2 linked regions of the Drosophila melanogaster genome follow. The protein of the gene in region 1 interacts with the protein of each later gene in a pairwise test. Each region holds a gene or a part of one and is shown on either strand. Other genes may lie near its edges.

Region 1 (4,665 bases):
GCTAGAATGGTCAACAGTTTTATTGTCCGGCAAAGGACTCTGGAAACAAATGTTGATTTCTGCGCACAGAAAAGAAAAGGATTTTTTAGAGGTTTTTTATGTGTTTTCGCATCTGGCGGCGACAGTTGAAATTTTATACTACCGTTGGTTGTTAATGAGTGTCGAGATTGTATGCTTTTTAAACACATTCAAGGGTCCTTGAATAGATTTTGTTATTAACGGCGAAAAAAGTGGAAAAAATATGTCACAAAAGAGCGCCTTTAAATCTAACTTTGTGTTTACATTTTATATCAAAAACATTAATTCAATCTGTGCTAGTATGCAACATATTTCATTTAATTTTATTTATTTATTTTTCTTTCCAATTGAAGTCCTTTATCCCACCAGTTATTTAAAGTCGCAGTTGGTCTTTAAAATGCGCGGGGCAATGGCAAAGCAATTACCCATCGATTTGTTCGATTCGGAGGCGCTCAAGTGCTTAAGCGTCCTTTCACCTTTTTGGCAATGGCATCCTGGCGATTTTGGTCCGTGGATAAACAGCGTTTTGTTTGCATTTGCGTGGCGTTTATTTGTTTGCCCGCTGTTGATGTCTGCTGGTCGAGGAGCTTGGAGCTTGGACGACGAGGGTTTCCCGGGGAAGAAACAGATCTTCGGAGGGGTCAGGACATCTTGCAGACGTGGTGGGTCAAAGGCTCCTGCGGGTATTCCAACCGGTCACTGTTCCCAGGTAAGTCGGAAAAAACACAAATGGTTTACTTAAATTACGGGGCTAAGAAAGAAATGAAAATGCGCATAAAATTTTTATACTTTGTCGAATTTCACGAGCGTTCCTTCCCATCGATTCATCTGTGCACTTTGCAGTCGACGCTTGCGGAATAAAATCCACTGCCCCTCAATTCCTCAAATTAAGTAAAGTGAGTAGGGGAATCCCCTTTTCCATTTAAATTTGCATAAGAGGCATCGGCGAAAGCGGATGAGGATGCGGATGGGTTGCAGTGTAATTGGGCGAAGTGAAATTGCGTTAATATTTAACAAGCCAGCGAAAGTGCAAAAGCGAAGCGCATTAAATGCGGAAAAGGGATACGGAAACGTAGTCCTTCGGGGCAAAGTGCGAAATTATGCGGAGTTCAGGGAGATCCGCAAGCCCTTTCCTTTGCGAGCACGGACCTCAAATGTTAAATGTTAGCCATAAGGTCAGCCAAATGTGAAACTCGAGCCGTGAAAGCGAAATGTTTGACCGCGAAGAGCAGCGCTGATTTTGAGTGGTAATTTCATTTCTCATTATCGTCGTTATGGTAATTCAATAAAATCATGACAATTCAAAATTTCGTGCCCGGCATGCGATTGGAATCTGATTATTGCAAATTCAATTTATAGTGCTATAAATATAAAAAATTTACAAAAGATATTAAACATGAATTTTAACCCATATAATATAGTACAGTTATACATAATAATAATAAAATCCGCAAAGATCTATTTATCGTAAATTTCAAACATATACGATATTCAAATATTTTGGCGCCATTACAGGTACTGAAAAATACCAAAAATACCGTAAGGTAACTATCGATGACGGCGATCAGCTGTGATCATCAATGGCGAACAGCTGATCTGGCTCGCGAATTTTCATCTTGTTGTTGGACTTTCTGTTGTGGACTTTGAAACGTCGCCTCTCGAGTTTAAACAACAAAAGTTACTCAATTTGGAAAGCCATCGAGTGGATAGCCATGTTTCGGACCCGGGTGCACCGCAATCTGTCGTGGATATCGACGAACTCGTCGAGGACAACGACCACTCATGGCCAGCACTACCAATACCTGCAATGTTCCAAGCTGCCAACGCTGTACTTTCAGCGCTCCTTGCCGCGATTGCCCATTCCTCTGTTGGAGAACAGCTGTCGGCGTTTCCTGGAGGCCACCAAGCCACTACTCTCGCCGGCGGAGCAGGCGCAGACCCAGCAAACGGTGGAACAGTTTCGCCAGGGGATCGGCATGGAACTACACGCGAAACTCAAGAGCCATGATGCAGAGAACAAGCATACCAGCTACATCTCGCAGCCCTGGTTCGACATGTATCTAGCCGATCGAGCGCCCCTGCCACTCAACTATAATCCGCTGCTGGTGATGAAAAGCGACGCGCGACCGGAGTACCAGCAACAGGTGGTTAGGGCTACCAACCTGATCATCAGCTCGTTACGGTTCTGGCGATCTCTGCAGGCGGATCTCCTGGAGCCGGAGGTGTACCACATGAACGCCAAGAAGAGCGACACTTCCAGCTACCGCAGGTGGATGAAGGTGGCTCCCAAAGCCTTTGCCACCTACGCGTCTTATGCCTTCAAGGCCTTTCCGCTGGACATGAGCCAGTACAACCGGTTGTTTGGCACCTCTAGGATTCCTAGGATCGGCAAGGACGAGCTGGTCCAGTCACCGGACGCCAAGCACATTCTGGTTATGCGCCGCGGTCACATGTACGCCGTAAATGTGCTGGACTCCAGTGGATACATCGAGAGTCCCAGTGTGATTCTGGGCAGACTAAGGGCTGTGCTTAAGCTTGATGCAGATCGCGAGGCAGCCAGCGTGCCACTTGGTGTTCTGACCTCCGGACAGCGTGATGAGTGGGCCAAGACAAGACAGCATTTTGTTAGCAACACCAAAAATGCCGATCTTCTGGAGAGAGAGGTGGATGCGGCTCTGTTCTGCGTTTGTCTGGATGGCGAAGAAGATGGAGTCTTTAACGAAAACCAGCAGGAGCCGCTGCTCAAGCATTTGCTGGCGGGAAAAGCGCAGAATCGGTAAGAAGTCGACATTATGTAAAGCCTGCCTGATTCACAAAATCATCCTGTTCTGTTACAGTTGGTTCGACAAATCCATTTCCCTGCTTATAAGTGCAGATGGAACAACGGCTATTAACTTCGAGCACTCGTGGGGCGATGGAGTGGCTGTGCTTCGCTACTTTAACGAGCTCTACAAGGATACTTTGAAGCAGCCGTTTGTATCCACGGAGACAGTGCACACTCCCGCCGAAGGCGATTTTAGCAACGTGCGGCCCATCAACTTCGAAATCGACGATGCCACCAAGTCGGCCGTTTCGGAGGCTTATAATAAAAACGCCAGCATTGTAGATAATCTGGACATGAATGTGCTGAAGTACCCACACATCAACAAGCCCACATGCAAGCAGTATGGCCTAAGTCCGGACTCCATCATTCAGCTGTCCTTCCAGCTGGCTTATCGCCAAGCCTACAGCGGCTATGTGGGCAGCTACGAATCCTGCAGCACATCCGCCTTCCGACACGGACGTACCGAAACGATGCGACCGTGCACAAATGCCACACGGGACTTCTGTGAAGCTATCCTCCAGCCGGAGAGGAGCAAGCCCAGCGCCGGAGAACTACGAGCAATGATCGACAATTGCAGCAAGGTGCATGGCCAGTTAACCAAGGAGGCGGCTATGGGCCAGGGCTTCGATCGGCATCTCTTTGCCCTTCGGCACACGGCCCAAAAGGAGGGAATACCAATTCCCGATCTCTATGAGACTGAGGCTTACAAGCGCATTAATAACAACATCATTAGTACCTCAACACTGGGTTCAGATGCCCTGCTAGCGGGTTCCTTTGGTCCGGTGGTCAAGAATGGCTTCGGAATCGGGTAAGCTGACTGCCTGTCGAGATTGGGTATTTGAATGTACAAATGCAGCACCTATTTTTCAAGTTGCCTCGACAAATTGTTCACTAGCTGACAGTTGATAACCCATTATTCTTTCAGCTATTCGATTCAGAACGATTTTGCCGGCGCCATTGTCACCACGTACAAAAACCAGGCCGATGGGAAGGTGTTCATAGACAGTCTGGAATCGGCATTTGATAAAATTTGCGCTGTCATCCAGCAGAGCAGCAGTAGCAAGAAGTAGGAGAAAATCGTGAGGAGTCCGACCCCGAATCCAATGAATATGGCTTTAACGTAACAGGGAGATTTATTTTGATGCTTTTACATTGTATCCCATGTGTCTGAATTGCAATATCTTTATCTACAATTTATAGATTATACACTGAAAACATTCTACCCCATCTAAAGCATCTGTGTCTTTGCTTTTATACCCGCTGCTTTAATGGCTTTTGCGGCTGATGGGATAATAAATTGGCTAACATATTGTTGGGATGCTGCTGGCTTGACATTTGCAATTGAATACGAGAAATAACTCACGTTTTAAAACAATGCTGAAAACAACTTTAAAGTAAAGAGTTTAAGAAGTTTATATTAAAATTGAACATAGAGTTATGATAAACGAGCTGAAGTAAAATCGAATAAGAGCGGTTGAAAGCATTTAAGATTATTTTGCGTAAGAAAATGTTTTTTTTTTAAGAAAACATCTTTCGATCCTTTGTTTTCCTAAGTAAAATCAACACACAGAACGATGTATGGCACAAACCCTTTTGAGTTGGTTTAACTATTGAGTCTCCTTTTAAGCATGCGTAAACTTTGACCTTTCATTGTCACTTAAGTTAAACAAGATGTGTGCCCACGCACACCCTGTTCCCAACTTGTTTATCCCGGAATAAGTGGGGGAAAAACCCTTGCATTAAACAGTTTCTGATTAAAGATTTCCCACACGCTGACCCAGAAAACTTGGCCACCAACCCTTCGGGCCAAGTTGTTGCCTTTC
Region 2 (7,210 bases), on another chromosome or scaffold:
CACGGGGGGAGAGATTCCGGGAGATCGTGAGGGACTTCTGGTCAGTGGTGAGGGTGCATCAAAGACCTCTGGTCTTGGAGTCAGTGAAAGCAGAAGTTGAGTTGGCATCTGGACCTGGGGTTGAGTAGTGTCTGGAGTTGGTGGAGATACTCTCAGCTCCGGAGAAGCCTTCAAGCTGAGTAGCCTCTTGGGATGCAGTTGCTCCTTTGCTTTTATGGGCTGTGCCACCGTAGCATTACTGGCTTGGCTGCTGCTACTACTTTGTACGGAAACGGAGGAGGCACCGCTGAGTATGTTATCCAAAAGGGATTCAGGCGAAGTAGAGCTACCTCCTCCAGCCAAGCTGCTAGTGGGCTCACTGCCACTGTCCCTATCCTGCACACCGAGTTCGACATTGGATAGCCCTGTACCTGATGACCCTGCACCCTGGGCACTATTCGACAAACCCAAAGTCCTAGATCTTCGGATGGAGCTCTTTGGTGCCAAACCCGGTAGCTTTGGCACTGAGGGTAGATGTATTTTCGAAGTCACTTCGCTCTTTGGGGCAATAGTAAAGGTAAAAAGTTGTGGTGCTGATTTGCGACGCACTGCGTCTGGTAAGGGAGCGGTCTGCAGATTATTCTGCGAAGTCTGTGCGTTTTTTCGTAAGGAAATTTTGGCAGAACTCAACTTTATCTTAAGTTTCCCTAAGGATGCACTGGGTGGCACAGCTGGAGTAGGAGGTGGGCTCGGAACAACTATTTCCACATCCCCTCGGATGCGTTCGTAATCCGTTAACTGGCCACTCTTGTTTCCGTTACTCGTTTTTCGCTTGAAAGCGATTTTCGAGCGATTTTCCCTGCTCATGCTTCCCGGTTATGCAATCCTGCAGCTCGGACTACGGATTCCAGGCAATCTGGAGCACCACCGCGTGTTCCCGTTGCAATTGGGACTGAAACTGAGACTGGGTCTCGGACTTGGTTGCTGCCTAATCCAATTACATTCCTCATTGGAAACCCACGGCGCACTGCGAGTGCGAATGGTGGCAAAAGTCTGACACTGACAATTGTGCAATTATCTGTTGTGGTTGCTCATTCTAAATAGTTCTTTCATGACAACCTGTCACTTGCTATTGATTGACTTTCTGATTTTCTGAATCCAGAGAGTATTTCGTGGTATGATGGGTGGGAGAAGATCCAACGGAGTAACCAAAGGAACGTCTCAACTTCCGAGTACCCCGCTAAACCCGTGAAGTGAAACTCTAGATGGACCCGATGTCGGTAGTGAATCAATTATTTTTTCATTTACCACCAAAAGGGAGTGTTCAAATTACTTCTATTTTTAAATGTGGCAATGGTAAACTTAGGTGTGTAGTTTACTACACGTTACTTGAGCAATTGATAGTGAATATATAATAATTTCAATATTACAGAAAACCCATAATGTCATATTAATACTAATAACCTTTTAACATATGTGTTTTTAAAATTGTTCGAATAATAGCGGATAACAACAGTTGAGTATTTTTTCATCTGAATGCAACTAGCTGCTCCAAACTTCCGTTAATAGCTCCATTAGCTGATCGAATGGCCAAGTAACCACTTACATTGACATAATACATTGTGAGGATTACAAAAGCAACGAAGCTTTCTCTCCCACCTAATCTTGCCAAAGCCCCCACACATTTACAACACTCGCTCTTTTACTCTCTCTATACGCAATGGCAAGATAAATGGTTGGGAGAGGGAGCTTTTCGAGCGCAGTATTAAGGGGTATATTATGTTCATGTTACAAATAATACTTTTATCCAGAAAATATCAGTTGTATTCCCAATACTTGAGTCATTTATACATTTAGTTTTATTTATACATTTTATTTTTATTCTGTTCCGTTGTTCCTATGTTAAATATGAGGTAATGGGTATACTTTGATCGGTACTCTCCATTCTAGCTGTCCCACTTGTTTTTGTCGAGCAGCTGGCCTAGTGGCTTTTATTTTCGACCCGCTCGCAGACATCAGTTGCAGTTCGGAAGCGGAATCGGTTGATGTTGTTGCTCCGATTCGGACGTGGAATATTTCGCTTTTGTACACTCGTATTTTCGACTTCAAAGAATCGGGCAAAAGCGCACAGAACAGACCTGAAAAACTTTTCCGTGCGTTTCCGAGTTTTGTTTTAATGTGTTCCATGTGATTAACTTTGTACGTTTATAGAACCCTTTTTTAAAAACCAATGGAAATACACGGAATCCGTTGACCCTTTTTGCCACAAGAAAATTTTCATTACGTTTCGCAGAATTTGTTGGTAGTTTGCTCTTTCTGGCCGTTTATCGTGCGTTGCTTTGCTGTTGATTTTCGTGAGGGACGCGCAATTTTCCATTCACCTCCGCTGCTCCAGTTACGGAAGCCACCCCCACCATTGTAAAGCCTAGCGTTTGCCGGTCCCCAACAATATGGAAGCGGTACGTATTTTGCACATTTCGCCGGTTCCAAACATTAAGAGCTATTTAGGAACTTTGGAGCGGGGGACACGGCATTTGGGTTACAAAGTCCAAGTCCAGGGCGATAATGCTGCTGCTGCTCGAGATATTGCGTAAAAGGTTGAAGTCTCTTCTCTGAGATTCGATCGGCTCCGATTGATCATCCAGTCAATGAACCTAAATGGCAGACGAAAAATTAGTATTTTATGCTAAACACCGTCTGCATCATTAGATAGGAACTAAGAAAGTAAAAGAAAATTGGGAGTATTAAAAATATATTAATTTTGCTAATAACAAAAGATTCATAATCTAGAAAACCAAAGCTGGATAATGTCAAAGTCACCAGAACGAGTTATCTTGCCAAATATGCATTTGATAATAACGCGAAATCATATTAATAAAATGTTTTGTAATTTTGAAGCGATTGCTAAACATGTTAAATAAATAATACATGGGGAAAAGGGTTAAAGTCTCTAGTCCGTAGAGATTGATGAATAATAAGCAGGCACCTGCTGATAAGACCTGGTTCCCATAACTTCACATGGACATGGACATTGTGGTTGTAGGGACTTAAGTACCACTTTTAATAATATGATTAAGCCATGGCATTTTGGACGAGCGAAACAAACTGTTTAAAAGCAGATAAAAATGTATTGTGGAGTAATACATAAATAAACAAAGCGAGATAATTGTAATTAGCATGTATTTGCTAACTTTTTATACCTAGCTTTTAAGAAAATCTCTTACCGTACACAGTTGGTACTTTAAAAGCAAGAGTCTCATTTTCATTTTATGACCCATTTAAGACAAACTACAGCAATTACAAGTATATTGGCCACAGACCCAGACGTGCGATGATTATATGAATTCTGAGTTCATTTCGCACACTTGTTCTTACAAAAGAAACAAATTAAGTTTCTGAACTTTAAAACCACCTGATAGAGATTGTCACTGCCAAGGAGAATCACAACAAACTTTAAACTAAATCATATAAAGATCATAAACTGACCCAAAATTAACTCTTTTTCTTAGGTGGCAAAGAAGGGCATGGAGAACTACAGATTTGGCAGTGTGGACTATGCCGTTTTCCTGGGCATGATCGTATTATCCACCAGCACGGGCATCTATTTCGGGTGCATCAAGTGAGTGACCTTTAAACAAATCCTCGGAATATTGCCAAACAATTGTTGTAATTACAGGAAGAGCAAGGTGAAGCTCGAGGAGGCGGAACCCACTCTGCCGACGACCACGCCAAAAAGGCGGAAACACGATTTCGGATCGGAGAAGATGAGCGAGTATCTGCTAGGGTCACGCAATCTGAAAGTTTTCCCCGTTGCCATGAGCCTGATAGCCAGGTAGAGTTGGCGATGCGATCCCGCACCTCCAAATATGCCTGTACAATCTGTTCCCTTTTATTTCCAGCTATATATCGGGCGTTACCATACTGGGCACAACCTCTGAGATCTACAATTATGGCACGCAATATTGGTTTATAGCCATAGCAATAATGCTCCAAGGTATTGCCGTCTCCTACGTCTACATACCAGTGTTCTCGGCTCTTCAAGTAGGCTCTTCCTATGAGGTACGATACTCGTAAATTCTATAAACTGATTTATACATTTACAATCTAATGGGTCAATAAGCTTATGCTAACAGTAAAAGTAATAACGTCCAGAACGCAACCAAAAATGTAAATTGGGTTTTAACGGAAATATTAATTTAGCTATAAAATACTCACCATTTCTTTCAATGACGAGTTAGTTAAAATAAAGATAGACAAGTTCATCTGTAGTGGTTGCTGATAAGAATGACAAACTTTCTAAGATGTTTCCGTCTTCCCCCTTTCGCTCCGTCACTTTTGTCCAATCAATGAACGGAGGACGTAGTGAACACTTTAATTAACTGGGAATCGGAGACCACCCTCCCCTCAAGTGGAATTTCTTGGACTTTGCACTCGCCCACTTGTTGCGACTTTTTTCTGGGTTCCAGCGGTTCGATATGATTAATTGCAATGTGGTTTTCTGCCACTTGACAATTGTGTCGAGCAATTAGTTTTCGTTTTCGGTCTTTATGACGTTAGTTTTCGAATCCTAAACGCAAGTCATTTGAATTATGAAATATAATATTGCTTTCAGTACTTGGAGATGCGCTTTCATTCGGTCGTACGAAGTATTGCATCCTTTATGTTTATTCTGGATGAGGTAAGTCAAAGATAATATTTGGACTGCAATGTTGTAATAATTGTCGATCCAATTTTAGATTCTGTTTCTGCCTTTCATTGTGTATGTACCAGCTATAGCTCTGAATCAGGGTAAGCCGCATTTGTTAATTGTTTGAAACACAACTTTAATCTTTCGATAATCTTGCAGTATCGGGCATTAATCTCCATGTGATTGCAGTGGTAATTGTGGTCGTGTGTGTTTTCTACACCTTTGTCGTAAGTTTTAGAGAGTTTCATACGTATGTTTTTATACTAATGGCGCCTATTTTCAGGGAGGAATCAAAGCAGTGGTCCACACAGATGCTTGGCAGGTGCTGGTCATGTTCCTTTCCGTTCTTGCTGTGGCTATTTTGGCCACTGTCTATGCAAATGGCTTGAATGTCCTTTTCGATGATGCTGCCAAAGGTGGCCGATTGATCTTTAACAATACAAACCCATCGCCTTATGTAAGGCACACTGTTTGGAGCGTCCTAATCGGGGGATTCTCCTACTGGACCTCATTCAATGCCGTCAACCAGACCATGGTCCAGCGATACATGTCTCTTCCATCGCTCAAGAAGGCTCGTGCTTCCATGGCCATTTTTACAATTGGCGTGGCTGCCTTCGTCTCTGTTTGTTGTTATGTGGGACTGCTAATCTATGAGATGTACAAAGATTGTGATCCTCTGAGTGCGGGACTAATAACAGTGAGTAAATAATAAATTGTTTTTGAACTTTACTTACGTTTATTTCCTTGCAGCACGACGATCAGCTACTGCCGCTCTTTGTCGTTCAGAGTGTGGGTCATATCTATGGTATGTCTGGTTTGTTTATAGCCGGCATATTTGGAGCTGCCTTGAGCTCCCTTTCTGTGGTTCTGAACTCAACGTCCTTGGTAATCCTGGAGGATATAGTTCGCGGCTGCTTCAAGATGCAACCAAGTGAAAGAGCCTCCACCATTCTGGTAAAGTCAACTGTTATAGTTCTTGGCTTTGTGGCCCTATCACTGGTATTTGTCCTGGAACAACTGAGTGGAATCCTGAGCATTTGCACTTCAATGACGGCCATCGCAGCTGGAACCACTTTTGGCCTGTTTACCCTGGGAATGCTCGTTCCCTGGGCCAATACTGTAGGCACTGCTGTGGGCGGAATTGCAAGTGCTCTGCTCGCCGGGTGGATATCCTTTGGAACGCAGTTTACCATCGCAGCGGGTGAATTGAATTCTCAAAAGCTTCCCGTATCCGTGGAGGGATGTGTGGGCAATGTAACGCTTCGGGAAAATATATGGGTAGATGAGGAGCAAGTTTTTCCACTGTACCGACTGTCCTACCACTGGATAAATCCCATTGGTGTGGCCACAGTCATTGTGGTAGGTGCACTAGTCTCCCTTGTGACCAAACCCACAAATATGAAAACACTAGATCCGGATCTAATATCACCAGTGATTCACAGGTAATTTTTGTAACCACATGTTTAACCTCTGTTATTAAACCCATTTTTTCTTCTAGATTCCTTCCAAAAGAATGCTTTAGTGGTCGCAATCTCCATGCGCAGGCGCACAAAAACCTCTTAAACGTATCCTAAAATAGACGAACCAGAACTTCCTGTGCCAAACTAATGGAATTGATGGCATTGAATTCCACACCCTGTTTTGTTAGCATAGTTTGTAGTTGTAGTTGCTTTGTGGTAGTTACCTTATAGATAGCCTAGTCTAGTACAATGTGATCCAGATATTGGAAGACATAAACCGAAGTACAGGAACCTATGAATCTGCATCTCAGAATACAGAGTGCACAATCATTAACGTTATATAGTAAATGTATTATAATATAGCTTTATTTAATTGTTCTGTTTGTATCCGTTCTTTACTTTCCAGCCTTTGTTCAAGCATTATTTTTTTGGCATTTTCGATTTGTAGTCAGCAGACTGTGTCTCATTATGTATTCCGTTTGACTTTACAAGCATAATGTCTGTGATAAATTCAATAAATAGATCATACATACTATCCGAATTTTGTACACCTAGAATATAGTTAAGCGGTTGCAAAGCAGCAGGAATGATATGACCTCTGTCTGGATCTGGATCTGGGATCTGAGTCTGGAATCTGGCGTATCTAGTCTAAACTAAGCCCCAATCAGGCGTAAATCACAAAAGAGGATATGCCTTGTATAGGCATGCTTATACATACTAATTAACCTTCCGATGATCTACAGCCGACGACTGTCTTCTGCTTTGGATGCACTTTCGTAGCTGGAACCCGATGACAATTAGGCAAAGAATGCCAGCACTCAGATAGCTATTGAAGACAAACTGCTGTGGCAGCATTTTGCACTTGGAAACCACATAGTCATCGGGGGTTATAGTGGCCTAAAAGTTATGGCATGTTAGTACAAGTTCGAAGGGCTAACAATCGTAAGAGCAAATATAATACTCACCAGCATAAAGCTGGGATTAACTTTGTTTCGCCAGCTGAATGAGGCCACCGTGTACTCATCGATGCCCAGTCGATTTACACTGTGACAGAAGTGATGTGAATGACCGGCGAATGCCAGCC

Evidence for each region. The genes of interacting proteins can lie anywhere in the genome.
Region 2: the proteins of CPT2 (region 1) and SLC5A11 interact in a two-hybrid assay, tested with the Drosophila melanogaster proteins (one large-scale study listed by BioGRID).

What each region holds. Positions count from the first base shown.
Region 1 is NT_037436.4:2,979,393-2,984,057, forward strand, and holds CPT2 (carnitine palmitoyltransferase 2), read left to right. Parts: upstream 1-1,629; 5' UTR 1,630-1,730; coding exon 1,731-2,794; intron 2,795-2,855; coding exon 2,856-3,650; intron 3,651-3,767; coding exon 3,768-3,912; 3' UTR 3,913-4,159; downstream 4,160-4,665.
Region 2 is NT_033779.5:8,199,915-8,207,124, reverse strand, and holds SLC5A11 (Sodium/solute co-transporter-like 5A11), read left to right. Parts: upstream 1-1,992; 5' UTR 1,993-2,429; coding exon 2,430-2,438; exon of another isoform or gene 2,439-2,633; intron 2,634-3,488; coding exon 3,489-3,598; intron 3,599-3,655; coding exon 3,656-3,811; intron 3,812-3,878; coding exon 3,879-4,038; intron 4,039-4,194; exon of another isoform or gene 4,195-4,591; coding exon 4,592-4,657; exon of another isoform or gene 4,658-4,715; coding exon 4,716-4,767; exon of another isoform or gene 4,768-4,825; coding exon 4,826-4,893; exon of another isoform or gene 4,894-4,949; coding exon 4,950-5,363; intron 5,364-5,400; exon of another isoform or gene 5,401-5,416; coding exon 5,417-6,108; intron 6,109-6,164; coding exon 6,165-6,240; 3' UTR 6,241-6,660; downstream 6,661-7,210. Other genes in the region: CG8419 (uncharacterized protein), read right to left, coding at 1-846; PGAP5 (Post-GPI attachment to proteins 5), read right to left, coding at 6,770-6,779, 6,845-7,023, 7,092-7,210.